Caenorhabditis elegans: one gene and its partners. The protein of the gene in region 2 purifies or fractionates together with the protein of the main gene of each other region. This does not show direct contact. Each region holds a gene or a part of one and is shown on either strand. Other genes may lie near its edges.

Region 1 (5,127 bases), on a different chromosome or scaffold from region 2:
ATAAATTTCAATCTAATTGAGTTGAATTTTGCAACGGATATCTTTGGCATTTTTTTATGAATGAATACTTTAAAAATTAATACATGGAAAATTTAACAAAATATATTTTCAGATTTTTTTTTGTTTACTTTAAAAAATTACGATTTTTCGAAAACAATTTAGTCATAGTTTTGGCTCAATACCAATTTAATTTGGTTTTTTTTAGAAGTAAGAAGCATTTCGCATGTTTGGAAATTTTAAATGTTCTAAAAAAATATTCAGAACATTAAATAAGAAGTAAGATTCGTAAAAAATCCTTTTTTTGGTTGACTTCGATAATTATAAGTTTCTAAAGCTGAGTAATATCCAATTTTTGACTGTAAATTTTAAAGATATCCTTTTTTGAAATGCAATGATATTTTGTCGTTTTAACACAAAAAGAGTGATAATATTTCCCGGGCTTGCAATTTTGCGCAAAGAATACGGTGTCCGGTCTCGACACAACTAATTTAATTAAATTCAAATAGGTGCGCGCCTTTAAAGAGTACTGTAATTTCAAACTTTCGTTAATGTGAAATTTTCGTCGATTTTTTATAGCTTATTCATATTTTAATTTTTTAAATAAGTATATTTTTACCGAAAAACTATGTAAAGTCGATGAAAATTCAGCGGCAACGAAATTTTTAAACTACAGTACTTTTTAAAGGCTCACATCTATTTTTGTTTTCCAAAAAAACGGCGTGTCGATACCGGCTACCGTATTTTTGTCGCGAAAATCGTAAAATTTCGCTGATAAGTGAACATAGCTTTTGGAAATATTTTTAAAACTTTTTTCGAACTGCCAAAAAAGCGTTGAAAGTTTTTGAGTAATCTTATTATGAAATTTAAGTAATTCAAAACCATTTTGAGTCTATTAAAACGAAAACAATTTTATCCGTTTCTCATCAGTTAAAAATTGAAATATATAATATTTAATTGATATTTGCCTACTTAGGAGTATTTAATTCAAAGAAATCAAGATTTTCAGTTTATTTTTTTTTGTTTTTCTGAACAAAACATACCGATTTCTGGAAGCTGGCAATTGTCCATCTCCAGAATCATCTCCAACTAATAACTGCTGACTATCGGTTGTTTCGCTTCGGGAAAGTAGGGAAAATCCTCTGAAACTTCAAACTTTATACATTTCTTCTAAGTGAAATTTGTTACCCAATAGACGTTGGAAGCTTGTTGCGAAGTGAATCAAATGAAGAAAATGAAGCTGAACTGCTGATACCACTTCCTTTCTTCTTCTGATCATTTATGAACTGCTCTAGAGCAGACATGCCCTTTAAATTGTTGTTGTAAAACATTTATTGACATCGTTATCATAGAAACCTTTCTGGCAGAATACCAATTTTCAACGAGGGTGAATTGCGATTTTAAAAATGAATGATTTATTGGAGTTTAAGAAACTACATACACAAAAAGAAAACTTTTAAACTAAAAAAAAAGAAATCGGCTCGAGATTTGAAACAGATAATTCTAATGATGACCATCCCATGAGGTGGTTCCGTGAGTCTTGTATTGGTAAGCTTCTTCAACGAAAATCAAGGCAGCTGTGAATGCAACTCCAGCTTTCCATCCAGGAAGAATCAACTGAAATTTATTAAATAATTTTAAAAAATTCCCTAAATACATTAATATAATTTTTGGAAAATCGGCTTGCTCGGAAATTTTCCAAACAAGAGCACATTTATAGGATACAATCCATAAAAATTTTTTAATATTATGTTGGTATTATATTAATAATATTTAATTCATCTCGAAGAAAACACGAACCTTCTTGAAATGAGCCCATTGTCCAACAACGTGTGGATACTTTCGATCGTACAAGTAGACGTAGTTTCTGAAAGAAAAATCAATAATATATTTATTAATATTATCGATAAAAAACCGACCTGATCCATGGATCCTTCAATCCGATTTGAGCGAGTCGTTTTTCATGCTGCGCCAACTGTGGAAAATCGCGAAAATTGCTGTAGATTGAGTAGTTTGGGATCTTAAACGGCTCGTGATGTCCTCCACCCATTCTGGAATTAAAATAATTGAAAAAAAATGTTTTAGAAACCTGTATTATGAAAATAAATGAAGAGAACGATAAAATCAGAAAGAAATGCCAGCCGAGTTTGTGTAGATTTACGCGGTGTGTAAGCGTGCGGCAGTTGCGTTTTCCGTCAGAGCGCAACTGCGGCACACTTTTCTCAATCAATTGTCAGGAGATTTTGGCTTGTTCCAACGCACCACTTTTGTTTTGGCTGTATTTTCAGATTCTCAACATTTTTTCTGCTTTTTTAATAAAGGAAAACTTTAACCATGTCGAAACGTAATCAAAAAGTGAGTTTTTATTCGGAAAAATCAATATTAACTAGAAAAGAACGATGTTTTAATTCAAATTTCAGGGCGTATCTACGGAAGATGCCGTAAAAATGACGAAGGAGCAAGAAGACATTGCCAAATACATCAGATTCAATTGTCCGACAGCCACGACCATGTTTGAAGGAAACGAAGTTCATTATTTCAGTGGTATGTACAAATTTCAATTGTTTATATTAATATCGCATATATTTTCAGGAAATAAAGCTGTCGATACTCTTTGGGAATCCAAGTACGGAAATAAAGCAAAGAAAGATGCAATGTTTAAAACAAGGTGGGCATTCTGTAGAAATTACGTAAATTTAAATAGATTCTAAATTTTCAGAGATGATTGCTTCCATTATATTTGCGAACTCAACTCGAAACAATTATTCTTCCGTGCAAAAAAATTAGTAGCAAAGAAAAAAGAGAATAAAGATAAAGGAAACGATTCTTCTGGTAATCATAAAACTTAAAAAATATCTTAAAACACGTTTTTTTCAGCTGAAGTTACCAAATCTCCAAAAGGTGTAGTTGAAAAGAGAAATAAAAAAGCCAAAGAAGAAGAAACAGCAACCGAAGCTGAAGGTGATGAGAAAGAAGTGAAAAAAGACGAAAAGAAAGACGAAGAAAAAAAGAAAAAGAAGGTGAAGCTTCTTGTACATGAAGTTCAAGCATTCGTCGATGACAAAGATGTCTACGTTTGGGTATTCGATCCAACTCCTCTCATGAAAAAGATTATTGGAGTACTTATGCGTAAGTTTTCCCTTTTTGATTTGTTATTTCCTGCTTTAGAAATGATTCAATGTGTAAAATTAAAATCCAATTAATATATTTCAGTCGTCGGTACAATTGTCGGATGCTTGTTCCCTCTATGGCCTGTATGGCTTCGCCAAGGAGTTTATTACGTATCAATTACTGGAATTGGATGTTTTGCAGCTATCATTGTCACTGCTATACGTGAGTTGTTTCAACAATAATATTCATTTTTCGATTATTTTCAGTCCGTACTATTCTTTTCGGAATTATCTACGCTGTTACTTTCGGAAAACACAAACTCTGGGTTCTGCCGAACTTGACTGAAGACTGTGGAGTTCTTGAATCATTCCAACCATGGTATACTTATGAGTATGTTGGTGATGAGAAGAAAGAAGCTAAGAAAGATAAGAAAGATAAAAAGTCGAAAAAAGAAAAGGATTCTGATGCAGAAGAGGAGGAGCAAGACCACATTGCTGCTGAACAGGAGCAAAAAGAGGAAGAAGACGATGATGCTGAAAAAAATAGTCAGGCATCAACTGATGATAATTATGAAAAAATTGAAGACGAGGTAATCTGATAAGTGTTTCAATTTAAATAATTATAATTTTGAAATTTAGGAAATCTCTGCTCCACCATCACCAAGTGACGATGCTCCTCGAAAACGTCGTCCAGCTAAAGTCTAGAAATTTAGTTTATCCTGAAATTTTTCCATTCCACATTTCTGCATTTATGAAAACTTGTCCTGAAAATCTATTGCATTACCCTCATCCTGTCGGTTTCGTCACATTTTAAATACTATTTTTCGTCCCATTCTTCCATACTGTGATTACCCTCTTGGCTAGTTTCTTCTTTCTCAGTCACTCTTCATTGTTCTTGCATAACTAAAATCTGAATGTTTCCGTTTCGGTCCACTATTGGACATATAATAAATTGGTCTATACAAAAGTCAAACAAGATAATTTCTTCATCAAACTTGGCTCATATAACAATAGAAAATTGAATAACTTGAAACATGCCAAAATGAATGTAGAAAATAATGATATAAATATGTGGAGATGGGGGGAGAAAGAGGAAGTACGACCCGTGTTGATTAACACAATTCCGAATCGGACTGATGGAACAAGAAAAGGGAGATAAATGTGAAAAGATGACCATCACAGCACATCAAAAAGACGTGGTTAAAGCATGAATTGTCTATAGAGTGTTCGTAGAATGGAATAACAAACTATTGAGGCCGATTCTGCTGCAACGCTGGCCATTGGGATGCAGACATCATTGGATGTGGTCCAAGAATTCCAGCGCCAGTGTTTGGGGATCCATTGTTTGCGTGTTGTTCTCGAATCGCATTCACATTACGTGGTGGGCATCTGCAAAAAGAATGTTAACAATATTTTAAAATGAGCCAAGTAATTGAAACTCACCCAAATGGAATTGGATTTTGACTCATCGGAGGTTGCTGTAGATTTGGTTGATAATTGTTCTTTTGCATATCATTTCTATTCTGTCCGAATTTTCCTGATTTGTTCTGCTGCTGCTGTGGCTGATGCTGCTGTTTTCTACCATTATTCGGATTGTTCTGGTTGGAATTTCCGTTTTGGTAGAACTGACCATTCTGAGGCTGTGACGAATATGATCGCTGCTGACCTTGCTGCTGCATATTCCTATTCTGATAGTTTTGACCATTGTTGGTCATACATCTATTCTGCATTTGATTCATCAACGGCGGGGGCTTTGCTGTCGGCCCACTGTTGCATGGCATCTGATACATCATCGGCTGTCGATTCTGTCCACGACCAGCACCATTCTGCTGTGGATAACTATTCACCTGATTTCTTTGGTTCTGTTGATTCATCACTTGGCCATTTATAACCTGTTGGTGTTGCTGAGGCGGTTGATGTTGAATCTGTTGGCATTGTTGCTGTTGTTGTTGAATTTGGTGTAGTTGTCCTGCATTCATTTGATGGTGCAGTTGTCCTTGGGGTTGGAAGTTTGGAGGTG
Region 2 (5,578 bases):
GTAAATCGACACAGAGAGCCGTAATTTGTGGCCTAGCTTTCCCACTTCTTCCAGTTCAAAGGATGAGAGAATCAGTGAGCAAAAATGAGATTCAAATGTAAGGAGTTGTACATAAATTAATTATTTACACAAATTGAATACGTTACTTCAAGCTGAACATCATCCGCCCACACACGACGACTCCAACGATTCCAATGGCTCCAGCTGTTACTCCAGCGCCAATCATCGACCACCGTCTGTTCTGCTTCCGGCGTCCCACTTTTTCAGCTTCTGCTCGTTCGTAGTCCTCTTTCATTTGTTTTCCGAGTGTCATGAAGTCGTCCTGCAATTTTTTTCTTGATTTTTTATTTTCACAAATAATGCTTTAGAGCATATTCCGGGGAACACAAAAATCCGTGAATGCGTATTTCACAACATATTTGAGGCGGAAATATCTCGTAGCGAAAACTACAGTAATTCTTTAAATGCCTACTGTAGTCGATTTACGGGCTCGATTTTTGAAATTAATTTCTTTTGATTAGTGGTTATTTTCTTTAATTGTAAAAATTTTAAAAATTTAAAGAATTACTGTAGTTTTCTCTACTGGATATTTTGCGCGTCAAATATGTTGTGAAATACGCATTCTGCGAATTTTGTATTCCCGTAACAATAACATTATCATAAACAGTAATATACTTGAATATGTTTCCAGCTGTCCCCCCAAGAGGCTACCGAACCCTGTAATTATCGGCTTACCAACACCCCGGGAAGTCAAGGGTACTAGGGAAAGGGGGATATTGACTTCTAATGTCTATGCAAATACTCCTTACCCAGCTCCGATTGTGTTCCTTCCAGTTGTTGCGGATCCGCGTTTTGATGAACAGCGATGTGTAAACGAAGAGGTTTCGCACTTGTCCCTGCAGTTCCACGGATTCCATCATTTTTGCAGCTACGAAACCGCCGAACGAGATTAGACCTATCTGAAAATTAGAAATTTGCAATTTAATTCGTTCATTTCTGGCGGAAAATTAAGCTTAAAAAAACGATTTTTCTGGTTTTTAATGTTCGAAAATTGAATTTTTGGGGTTTTTCGTTCAGCAAATCAGCAGAAAAACCTGTTTTTCGAAGAAAAAAGTTCAAAAATCGAATTTTAATGTATTTTCCACAAATTTTACATTTAAAAACCGATTTTTGATAAATCAGCAGATCTTTTTCGCAAATACAAATCAAGGAAAATATGCTTTAAAAATATTCGAATAGAAAATAACGTTTTTAATCGAATTCGTAAAGTTTTCTGCTAATTTATCAACAAAAAAAATTACAATCCGGGATCAAAATTCGTGGTTTTTTAATGGAAAACTTTCAAAAAAGACACATAATTGGGCTATTTTTGACCAAGTTTTGCTGATTTCCTGAAGGAAAACAAACAATTTTTGCAAATGTTTTTTCTGCCACCTTTCTGGCGAATTTTCGAATTTTTGCAAACTTTTTTTCAGTATTTTCTCCCTTACCAAACGTCCATAAGACATTGGACATTGATCTGTCTGTGCATTTCCAACCGTCCGAACCACATCCTGATACAGTGAAAATGAGATTCTGGGCACTGCGAGCAGCTGCTCACAGAAGGTCTCAAAATTTTCCGCGTGCTTCTTCTCGAATATCGTTCCCATAACTCGCATCATTTCGTGCTCCGGTTGCACTCCACACGGCAATCCCGGTGCTCCAAACCATTCCATTCCGTTTTGCCGGATTCGGTGCGTGAAATAGTCGACCTGGAAGCAGCAGGAAATTTTATTTACAAAAAAAAATTAAAAAATTACCACAAATCCCTCGATATCAAGCCTTGGCTCTTCCCAATCATTGATTTTTCCATCAATTGACTCTCCGATGGACATTCTTCGCGTCGAAGCCTGCCTACTCGGTGATGGCAAGTCCTGAGCATCACTATTGATTCCAAAATCGGTGGGCTCTGTGCCTTTTATCCCCAGAAACTCCTTCATCTCGCCAGTCGCCATCGTTCGTCGCCGATACGCCGGATTCGTCAGCGAGTTGTCCGCCGTGCAGCGTGTCATCTAAAATTTTTATTCGTTTTCATAATCATAATATACATTCTAGACAGAGAAAAAAAAACGAAGAGGAGAGGTAAATCTACGGAAAAGAGAGAAAATCGAAGAAATCAACGGTAAAAGTAAATTGACGAGAATTGTCGAGGGCTGGGGCGGAGTAAGAAAAAAGAAGGCGGAGCATCTGTGCCTAGGCAGTCTTGTTGCTCTTGTTCTGGCAAGAGTTGAAGACAATGGCGAGAGCAAGAATAGCCGAAAGTCCAGATACGAGATATCCCGATTTGTAGATCTGAAAATTAATTTTTATTTTAAAACAATTAAATTAATAATTTCAACTCCTACCTGTCCAACATTATTGACTCCCTTAGCCAAATCGAATCCTAAGAAGCGAATTCCGTTAAGAGTATGGAAAATGATGGGGAAAGCAATGATGTACTTGAAGACAGCGGTCACCGCGCATGGTAAGTTCCAGCTACGGATGAAATCCACAAAAGCGGTGAAATCGAACGGCAAAACTGCGAATCCGATTCCTCCGACGAGAAGGGTTCCGGCCATTACACAACCGCTGATTCTATGGAATCCGGAGAGCATCCAGGTCAATTGTGGCTGGTAGACGGTGAGATGTGGAGCGATTGGGCGATTCTTGGAGCGCTGCTTCAACAGGTATTCCCATCCGAACTTCTGGATTGGCGTCTTTGCCTCGGACTGTGAATATTATAAATAATTAATTGAAAAGAATGTGTCTGTTATACATTTCTCCTTCATGCGTACACAAAAAATCAACAATTTTCACGGAAAAATTCAAAAAATCCCCACCTTGGTGACGATCGATGTTCCAAAGGAGCGGGAAATCGACGATCTGGCGCCCAAGCGGCACAGAATCGCAGTTGGAATGTTAATCATCCTGAAACAATGCTGATTTTCTTATCAAAATTGAAAAAAGAAACAGGGCGGTGCGTTTCAAAACAAGTGTTGAATTTTGTTGCGGAAATGCACGCACAGGGCACGAGAAGTGCGCCAGCAGCGCGTCTCGTTTGAAGAGATGCGTCAGCAAACGACCCGGGCGCACTTTTCGACTTGTTTTTTGTTCTTTTTTTGTTTTTTTTGTTGCATTTTCTGTGATTTTCTTTGAATAATTATTTTTTCCATTGCAAATTTCAAGATGAAATCTAAAATTCCTCGAATTTCTGATCCATCGACTCCATGGCTAGAGATTTTAGTAAAATTCGGCTTCAAAAATGAGCCTTTTATCCTTGGCGAGTGGAGCACTTCTGGCTGGACAGCCGTTAAAGATTGGGTGCTTCCAAATGGACAGCCAAATAAGGAATATTTGAAAAAGTCCTATGGTTTGTCTGGATAGTTTTTTGTTATGAAAATCCCGTTTCGCTCCAGGAGATTCGAAAGTTCCTATTCTTTGCGGAGGAAATCAGTACAAAACCACTACTTTGAAGGAATTTCTGGAAGAAATGGGCGATCCAGAAGTTTACTTAAAGGATTGGCATTTTCAAAACGAGTAGGAGTTGAATTTCAATTCGAAATTGATTTTTTTAAATTAAAATATTTAGATTCGGAACCTCTTCATACTCCTTGCATCCTTTCTTTTCTCGAGATTTTGTAAATTGTGAGCCATGGACTAGTGAGAAATCGGAAAATCCATTTGGTGACGACTATCGATTCGTTTATATCGGAGCTTCTGGATCCTGGTAGCCTTGGAATTTTCTTAAAAATTAGAAATCCCCTCAAACTTTCTAGGACAAAACTTCATTCCGACGTAGTTTCATCGCATAGCTGGTCAGCGAATATTTGCGGCAGAAAACAGTGGTTTATGATGCCCCCAGGCAGTGAAAATCTGTTTCGGAGCAGCGTTACAGAGTCGGGGTTTGTGGATGACATTCGGGAGTATGAACGGCTATTCGAGCAGGCAAAAGTGATAAAATTCGTTCAAGAGCCCGGAGAAATTGTGTTTGTCCCATCTAATTGGTACCATCAGGCCCACAATTTGGTATATCAACTATTTATCTCTCAGTTTAGAAGGACATCATTTAATTCCAGGAAGACACAATTTCCATCAATCATAACTGGATGAACAGCACGAATCTTCATCTAGTACAGGAGTTTTTGAGCCGGAGGGAGCTAGATGTTCGTGAGGAGCTCCAGGATTGTGTAGATCTGTTTTCCGCCGAGGAATTTGAAGAAAAAGTGGATCTTGTGTTGTTCGCCGACGCTAGACTTAATAATTCAAAGTTTCGAAAGCTGTGTGAGCTTGTAAAAGAATCTAGAAGTCATGAAGTTGGGGAATTATTTGAATGTGAAGCCCATGGTTCAAAGATGTAGGTTCTCATTTTAGAGAGAATTATCCAAAATTGAGTTCTTTCGCAAATTAATTCGTCTTTCCTTTTAGATTTTCTGAATTTTAGTCTATTTTTGGTATTTTAAAGTAAAATCTCCTTGGAGCTTTGGGTTTTGCCGCGATGCTAAAATTTAAAACTAAATATATATTCCAAAACTCCACAATTTTCCAGCTGGCAATGTATCTCATCACCTTCCTGTCACCCTCACATTCTATCCATTTGCTCTTGCTCCACAACTTTTTGCTCCAAATGCTCTGCCTTCATTGAGCAGCTCGAATTTTCTGTCGCTTCTCGTTTTTTATAGGTTTCTCCTATTTTTTCCCAGGAATTTTCTAATTTCCCGCTTTCCAGATGCTCTCGGAGGAACAATTGGCGACTTTATATGACTGTGCAACGACTTCCACACGACTTCCGAACGATTTTGCCGATGATCAAGAGGATTTGAAGAATATTATACGCTATGGAGAACTGTTTAAAGCGTGTCATGCAATCAATTCAACGGACTTTATTCAAAAATCAGAAGATCTCAAAGACGAGGAGAAAGTGGCTCTAGAGAGGATAGTTGAGCAAAAGCTGGCGGAATCGGCAAAAAATGAGAAAGATATCGCGTGGAATGTTAATATAGGTAAATGAGAAAAAAAACTCCCATCAAAAAAGCAGCTTTGCACAGAAAAAGAGGCTGGCTTATTTTTGCAACCCTGGCACGGTTTTTCACTGTTTTTTGTCGTTTTTTTTTTAAATTAAAATTTCGATTTTACTAGTTTTATTCTCTTTTTTTCGAATAAAAATGTTATCCAATTTAATTATCATACGATTATGAGCATATTTAATGTGGTTACAACAAATTTAGCATGAAAATATCCTCACAATAGTATAAGAATAAAATTGGATAACACTAGACAAAACTGAAAAAAAAAACAGAATATAAAAAGTAAAATCGAAGTTTTATTTTTGAAAAAATCCACAAAAAACTGGAGAAAAAGACGAAAAAAGGAGAAAATAACCGTGCCGCATGGCTGCAAAATTACGCCCCGCCTTTATTTTTGTGCGAATCCGTTATGTGCTCCTAAATTTTCTTTAAAAAATGTATCTTTTTCAGTGGTCGCCAACTCGTACGTGGCTAAAAGTCTCCGGCCAGTGATCAACATTCAGATGCCAACCGTCGGCGGCGACACCAATTTCGAA
Region 3 (6,585 bases), on a different chromosome or scaffold from region 2:
TTTAAACTTCAGTCTCCTCTGAAAATCATAATTACAGTAATCGTCATTTCGTCGGAATTTGGAGGATATGCGCTTAGTGAGTGTACGCTGCCAGATTTCTCGTATTCCTTGTTGAGAAGATAGTAGAATAGACAGTGCTCATCTCCTCCTAAAACAAAGATTTGGGTTATGCTGTGAGACCACCCAAAAAAATTTTCCAGGTGCCCGCGAAAAGAGAAACTCGGCCACGCACGTTCTAATTAGAATGACATGCAAAAGCGGCCCTTGGCCCCTGGCCCGAGTTACTGTAATTTGTTTTCAGCGTGGCGAGACCCAAAAATATGGAAAAAATGATCATCTTCCGACGTCTGCGTAATATAAAGATCAACATATCAACTTTTAGCCGTCAAAACTAATGAGTCAAAGCGCTCAGTCATGCGTAAACAGAAAATGATCGTGATCTCCAAATAAATTTGAAATGTAATTCCTTGGTTCGATGGAAGCTTGCCCAAAAGTACGGTTGAGGGTCTCGAAACGAACGATTTTCAAAAATTCTAAGAAATGTGCACCTTTAAAGAATACCGAAGTTCTTCATTGTTTTCTTGTGTTATTCATGGGTTAAAAAAAAAGTCATGTATTTTATTTCAGTTTTTCAATTAATTGTAAGAAAACTATACGGTACCCGGTCTTGACACGGCAAATTTGTGTTAATTGAGAAAAGGTGCGCGCCTTTAAAGAGTACTGTAACTTCAAACTCTTGCTACTGCCGGATTTTTCATAGATTTTCTCTAGATTTTGAAATTTATTTAATAAAAAAGTGCATTTTTAAGTATCGAAATTCTATCAAAAGTCGATTAATATTGCGCAGAAACGAAAGTTTGAAACTACAGTACTACAGTACTCTTTGAAGGCGCACACCTTTTCTGCATTTAACACAAATTTGTCGTGATGAGACCGGGTATCGTATTTTTGCGATAATAATCGCTAAATTTCGCAGTTTTCAAAATGCAAAAAAAGAAAAGAATTCGCAAATTTTTTTAATTTGAATTTTCACTTCCGAGAGTTACGTGGGCAACGTTATTCCTTCCAAAACCATTAAAAAAAAAGTATTTCGGAATTTCCAAACTCACCATCTGCTCGATTTGTCAAATTCTTCGTGTACCTGCATTGAACCATCTGCTCAGAAGTCTGAATGAGAAGAAGTGCTCCAAAGAGCACAAGAAACGACATTTTTGACCAGCAAGAGGGAATAAGTTATGCGAGTTTGTATGTATGTGTGCTGCTACGCGTATCCCTTCTTAAGAACCGCCCGCTTCTTGTTGTTACCAGGACAACGGAGCGGGGTGGGGAGCCAGCGTGTGAAACAATCGATTCGTTGTGTTGTTGTTCCCCCGGTGTCTCGACTCACAGACACTATTTTCATGCTATGACCGCTGATTTTATTCGGAAAAGAGCAGAAAAGAAGAAAAAAAAAATTAAAGTTTGAGTGCTATATGCTTCTTTCTCGAAAACTAAAAATCTTATACATGATTGTAGAATCGAAGCTAGAAAAAATTCAAAAATCCAATCAGTATCGTGTGGTCGGAACATCGGCATTTCCAAGTTGCATCTTCTGCCAAAGAAGTGGTCCTCCCCAGATTCCGGCAGATTGTGGATGAGCAGTCATTCCTTGGAGTCCAGTCTCCGAGTGTCGTTGATACTGCCAGAATGCTCCGAGGATGGCGGTGAAGATGGCGGCAGTGGTTCCAAGGGCAACGTTGCTCTCTGGAAAAATAGTGGTTTTGAAACGAAAAATTAAATTTTTCAGGAATTAACCAGGACAATCAGATTTTGATTTTGTGTCTAGATTTTTTATTTGTTAAAAAATAAAAATGTACAAGTTTTGCCAGATTTACAGAGAATTTTGTTAAATTTTAAAAATAAATATTCATATTTTAAGCCGAATTTTTATTATTTTCAGACTAATTTTTATTAAAATATTTCGAACAAAATATTTTTTCGGACAGAATCAGAACTAATTGATTATGAGATACAATGATAATGTGGCTGCTACCATGAAAGATAATTTTTTGAATTGATTTTTTTCTATTTTGGAAAATTACGAAAATATATTAGTTTCTGTTTTAAATTTTTTCCATGTGATTTTCTTCGAATTTAACAGAAAATCTGATGAAAACACATAAGAAATCATTTAAATAGAATTAAAATTTTTTTCTACGCTCTGAAAACCACGTTTTTTGATCATTTCGCCAAATTGGCTTACAATTTTTAACAAAACATACTCATGGTAGCCACGGTTGATCCAACAGCAACACTAGCGAACCAATGATTATGGACATCATCCTTATGACGGATCGATGAGGCTGCTGAAAGACTGAAGCCCCAGGCGAATGCAACGGCCAATGGGAATGGAGCGAGTTGGAGGTATCTCTTCATATAGGTTCTTGGCGAGAATTCGGATACCGAGACTGTATTGAGTGCACGGATTTCCAGCATAGTGTATGGAGCCACTGAAATTATGTTTTATGATTATCGTGAACATTTTTTAAATCTTAATCTAGTCTTACACAAAATTCCAGCATACTTGGCGGCGGCAAGTCCTTTCCAGAAAGATCCCTCATTGAGTGGACTGTCGAAGAAACGGGGTCCGGCAGGATACCAAGAGTTTGGCAACACGGCGTTTCTGCCTAACTCGTCCTTTGGAGCTGGAAATAAAAAAGTTTTGTAGCAGGATACTTATAATAAAATTTTAATTATTCCTCACTTAGCATATTATCGCTCAAGGTTGGACTAACGGATAGTCCTGGATGCTCTTTGCTGATTCCAAACTTTTCAGCGATAGCCTTAAACTGGTGGGATCCTTCGTAAACTTTGTTCTGGAATTCGGACAGCTCTCCTGGCTGATCTCCTTTTTTGGTGAGATTTTTGGTCTTCTTGGAATCGAGTCCGAAAGGTCCGGCCAGGGATTCTCCGTCTTTTACCTGAAAACGCAAAAAATTAGCGAATATCACTCAAAATAAATTAACTGTACCTTTGGATCATACCAATCTGGATCTTCCTCACGGAAACGAGCACGATAAAGACGAAGTTTTCCAGAACGCGTGACAGAGTCTTCAAGTCCTGGCTCCTTCCACCAGTCGGCACGTCCCTTGCTGAATTACAAATTTTACCATTTTAAAATATTTTATTGAATTAGATTTAATTTCAAAAGTAGAAAAAGAATAAAGCTTACTATTCACGATCACTCCAAAGACCGATCCATGGAGGTCTCTGCGTTTTATACGTGGCGGTCAATGGTTCTTCTCCGTGGCCCATTTTACCTGAAAATCGATTGATAAATAACAATAAAAAATTGTTCATAGATACTTTCAAAAAATTCCAAAGAAGATAAGCCAAAAATATGTATTCAAATGCGGATAAAATAAACAAAAACAGAAAAAAATACACTGAAAAATTAATCGGCCGAGACGGGAAACGCGCAAGGAATGAGAAACGCGCCAACAATCATATGTTAGCGCATACTTCGTCCTTGCGCGGATTTTCAAAAACGATTTATTTGTAATTTCTTTTTGCATTTAATTTTGCGGTTTTTGCTTTTTGAAAGCTCTTAGAGTTTATAATTTTGTATTAACTATAAGTAAAAAGATTATAAAATATTTATTCGGATTAAAATAAATTTTATCTAACAAATTATTTTTCAAAGAACATTTCCTGAGATGCGAACAAAAAGTTGATTAATATTAAACAAAGAAATCACAAGGCGACATCTTCCTGGTGCTTGAACTGTGACATGACGTCTGCTGAATGCTTCTCTTTTTGAGCTGAAAAATCGATAATTTGTTAAATGTATTATTACAAAAATGTTATATTACCTAGCCTCCACTTTCGAAGATACGCAGCTCTCCGCAATCTTCTCTCTTCTTCAGTTTCTCCTTTTGTATCAATATTCGATTTTATATAAGGTCTTACTGGTGTGGTTCTAGCCGCGCACGCTTTTCGCTCTGAAATGTACGAAATTGGGATAAAATGTGAAAATTTATTTTAGAAATCACCTCTTTTCGGTGGTACATGCGTTTTCCTGTATTCTTGCCAAAATTTTCGTTTTTCTTGAAGAGAAGTGTCATTTTCTGAAATAACTAACAATCATATAAGTTCCATAAATTAATTGCAAAACCTCGTTGAAGCTCATAATGCTCTAGTCTTCCAAATGCTTTACGCAGAAATTTTCCGAATTCCTTAGTTTGAACGAATGGCAAATGATTTTTTTCTCGAAATAATGTATAGAATCGACGCAGTTCCTGAAGCTCATCAACATTCCATTCCTTTTCTGGATCGTCCATAGCTATACTGAACTTTGACATCAGCATTGATAAATGCTCCCGCTCGATTTCGCACGGCGGAACGTCCAGGCGAGTTGGTTTGGGAATGAATTGCTTCTTTGAGTGAACTGAAAATAAAGAATTTTGTTTGAATAAAAACTTTTACAATATTCACTTACATTCTTTGAAAACTTCCGTGAATATATTATTGATAGCGGACCGAAATTCTTTCTCTTTCTCGTATTTCATTCTTGGATTCAAAGTAGAGAATGAGAAATTGTCGGGAGAAGCCTTGCAGCTTCCACCTGGTACGTCTTCTGTTTGATTAGCAGGATCTTCACTACCGACACCCATGAAATTAGAAAAATCGATAGCTGATTCCTCCGATGAAGCTTTATTTTCGCTCAGTCCTTGGAAAACTTTTCCGTACGCTTTTGAATAAAATTTCTGAAGATTCAGCTTGTCATCGGCCCCTAATGCTCCACTGCGCCAGCTTCTACAGTATGAAGTGAATTCGGCTTTCTCCTCGGCAGTCCATTCTCGGGGACCGTGAACTCTGTTTGCGGTATTTAGAAGTCGTTCAACATCTTTCGAAACTTGATCATCAAACATCTGCGTTCTCTCCTTCTCGAGCTTCTTGTGGAGATTATTGAATTGAGTGTCAGCATCAGATCCTTGTAGAAGAAAGAAATCCGAACAATCCACGTCGAACTTGGTACGTGGCGAAAAACCAGCTCGTAGATCATTTTGATGGAATCTTTTCGCACTAGATTCAATTGGAACCGGATTGAGAGTGAGCAAGGAAGCTAGCGTAGCTGATGAAGTCGTGGTAGGTTGAGCATCCTCTATCGGAGCTTCTTTTCGTTTATATTTTCGTTTTGGTGGAGCCTGTGGATTCGTGTAGGCCATTGCTTGATCGAACATTTTGAGAGCATTTTGTAGAATTTCGGTTCCAACATCTGCTCCAGACGAAAATTGTCCAATGATAGCTTCTCCTATATTGCCAATATGATCCAAGGGATCAGTGTCCTCTGCTGCAGAAGCTTCCTTCTGAATCAAATGGTCGAGAAGGCTTGCTGATGTGCAAGGAATATCATCTGAAACTAATAATAATTATTTTAAAATATAATTTGAATTGTTCTTACGTTTTTCATTCGATTCGTCGGGTTTTTGCATCTCGTAACAATTGCAATCGGTGGTTTAAAATTTTCGTTTTTGAATTCAAAAGAGTGAGGAAGACAACAAATTAATGCGAAAAAGTTGTTTTGAAAGAAGTTTTGGAAAACGAAAAATGAAGTCGAATGTGGCGCAAAAATCGAAACGAACATGAGAGATAGTGCTAAAATTACTAGAGTCGCAGATTATATTCACGAGAAAGAGCACGCGGGACAAAGAGACAGAGACGAAATAACGAAAGCGGCCAGAAAATTCTCTGCGTCTCCGGGGCAAGGAAGCATTCTTTTATTGGACTTTTGATGATTTTGAAATTTGTCTCTGCGTCTTGTTGCAAAATTGGGAATAACAAGAAAACGCATGACTTGTTTGTCTAGAATAGGATTACATGTAATATGCAGCGCGTTTTTAGACCCGTTTTACTCGATTCTTGCTAATTTTTTCCGGGAAAACATAATGAAGATTAACAAATAATTCTTTCAAAACATATAAGATTAGTAAAAAATGAATAAAAGCGAGATATCTAAAGAAAGAAAGAAGCAATTAAAATTGCGACAAGTTTGCCCGAAAATAACTAATTTTCAAGTTCCCTCCGTTGAAAATTTGCGCTAGAGCACACTTGCATTTTTCAATTTTTAACAAATTCTTTGTTGGTTTTTAGCATTTATATATTCGAATATATTCCAGTTTTCTCCACAAATGCAATGTGTCCGGAGTTTTGTGAAGAACGAAACGTTCAATCGAAATAAGGTAATTTGTCTATTTTCAACGAATTCATCGAATTAATGATGTTCTTCCAGATTTTACTAGTGGCATTCGTGGCAAGGATAATTCTCGTTTTCTACGCACACATTCACGATTATCTATTCAAGGTTTGATAATTTTACATCATCAAAATAAGTTTAAACTCAGTGTTTCAGGTGAATTTCACAGACATCGACTATCACGTGTTCTCCGACGCTGCCAAACATGTCTCAAACGGTGGAAGCCCATTCGACAGAGCCACTTACCGATATACGCCTGCGCTAGCATGGATTCTTTTGCCTGTTGTGCATTTCCCGGACTTTGGAAAGATTCTCTTCTGCATTTTCGACATCCTGGTGGCGATTCTGTA

What was found. Proteins that work in one complex are often made in the same cells at the same time.
Region 1: the proteins of mev-1 (region 2) and ndub-3 fractionate together in Caenorhabditis elegans (co-fractionation; one large-scale study listed by BioGRID). This does not show direct contact.
Region 3: the proteins of mev-1 (region 2) and nduf-11 fractionate together in Caenorhabditis elegans (co-fractionation; one large-scale study listed by BioGRID). This does not show direct contact.

What each region holds. Positions count from the first base shown.
Region 1 is NC_003280.10:8,962,843-8,967,969, forward strand, and holds ndub-3 (NADH dehydrogenase [ubiquinone] 1 beta subcomplex subunit 3), read right to left. Parts: upstream 2,049-5,127; 5' UTR 2,048-2,048; coding exon 1,917-2,047; intron 1,865-1,916; coding exon 1,798-1,864; intron 1,615-1,797; coding exon 1,501-1,614; 3' UTR 1,400-1,500; downstream 1-1,399. Other genes in the region: sftd-3 (Vesicle transport protein), read right to left, coding at 1,041-1,139, 1,186-1,301; sec-62 (Translocation protein SEC62), read left to right, coding at 2,332-2,352, 2,418-2,541, 2,590-2,665, 2,717-2,829, 2,875-3,126, 3,211-3,330, 3,375-3,697, 3,747-3,812; szy-20 (SUZ domain-containing protein), read right to left, coding at 4,355-4,496, 4,551-5,127.
Region 2 is NC_003281.10:10,331,645-10,337,222, reverse strand, and holds mev-1 (Succinate dehydrogenase cytochrome b560 subunit, mitochondrial), read right to left. Parts: upstream 2,947-5,578; 5' UTR 2,946-2,946; coding exon 2,859-2,945; intron 2,748-2,858; coding exon 2,385-2,747; intron 2,332-2,384; coding exon 2,233-2,331; 3' UTR 2,055-2,232; downstream 1-2,054. Other genes in the region: Apoptosis regulator ced-9, read right to left, coding at 143-322, 810-959, 1,491-1,751, 1,800-2,051; jmjd-4 (Jumonji domain-containing protein 4), read left to right, coding at 3,205-3,388, 3,435-3,555, 3,608-3,745, 3,795-4,044, 4,095-4,372, 4,565-4,697; T07C4.12 (COMM domain-containing protein), read left to right, coding at 4,745-5,018, 5,493-5,578. UniProt on the Caenorhabditis elegans protein: Membrane-anchoring subunit of succinate dehydrogenase (SDH) that is involved in complex II of the mitochondrial electron transport chain and is responsible for transferring electrons from succinate to ubiquinone (coenzyme Q).
Region 3 is NC_003280.10:11,342,322-11,348,906, forward strand, and holds nduf-11 (Complex I-B14.7), read right to left. Parts: upstream 3,300-6,585; 5' UTR 3,295-3,299; coding exon 3,212-3,294; intron 3,132-3,211; coding exon 3,011-3,131; intron 2,961-3,010; coding exon 2,744-2,960; intron 2,685-2,743; coding exon 2,547-2,684; intron 2,490-2,546; coding exon 2,262-2,489; intron 1,744-2,261; coding exon 1,547-1,743; 3' UTR 1,400-1,546; downstream 1-1,399. Other genes in the region: lgc-20 (Neurotransmitter-gated ion-channel ligand-binding domain-containing protein), read right to left, coding at 36-148, 1,110-1,209; B0491.6 (DNA helicase), read right to left, coding at 3,733-3,800, 3,852-3,980, 4,032-4,106, 4,154-4,426, 4,478-5,401, 5,444-5,474; pigm-1 (GPI alpha-1,4-mannosyltransferase I, catalytic subunit), read left to right, coding at 6,171-6,221, 6,272-6,343, 6,392-6,585.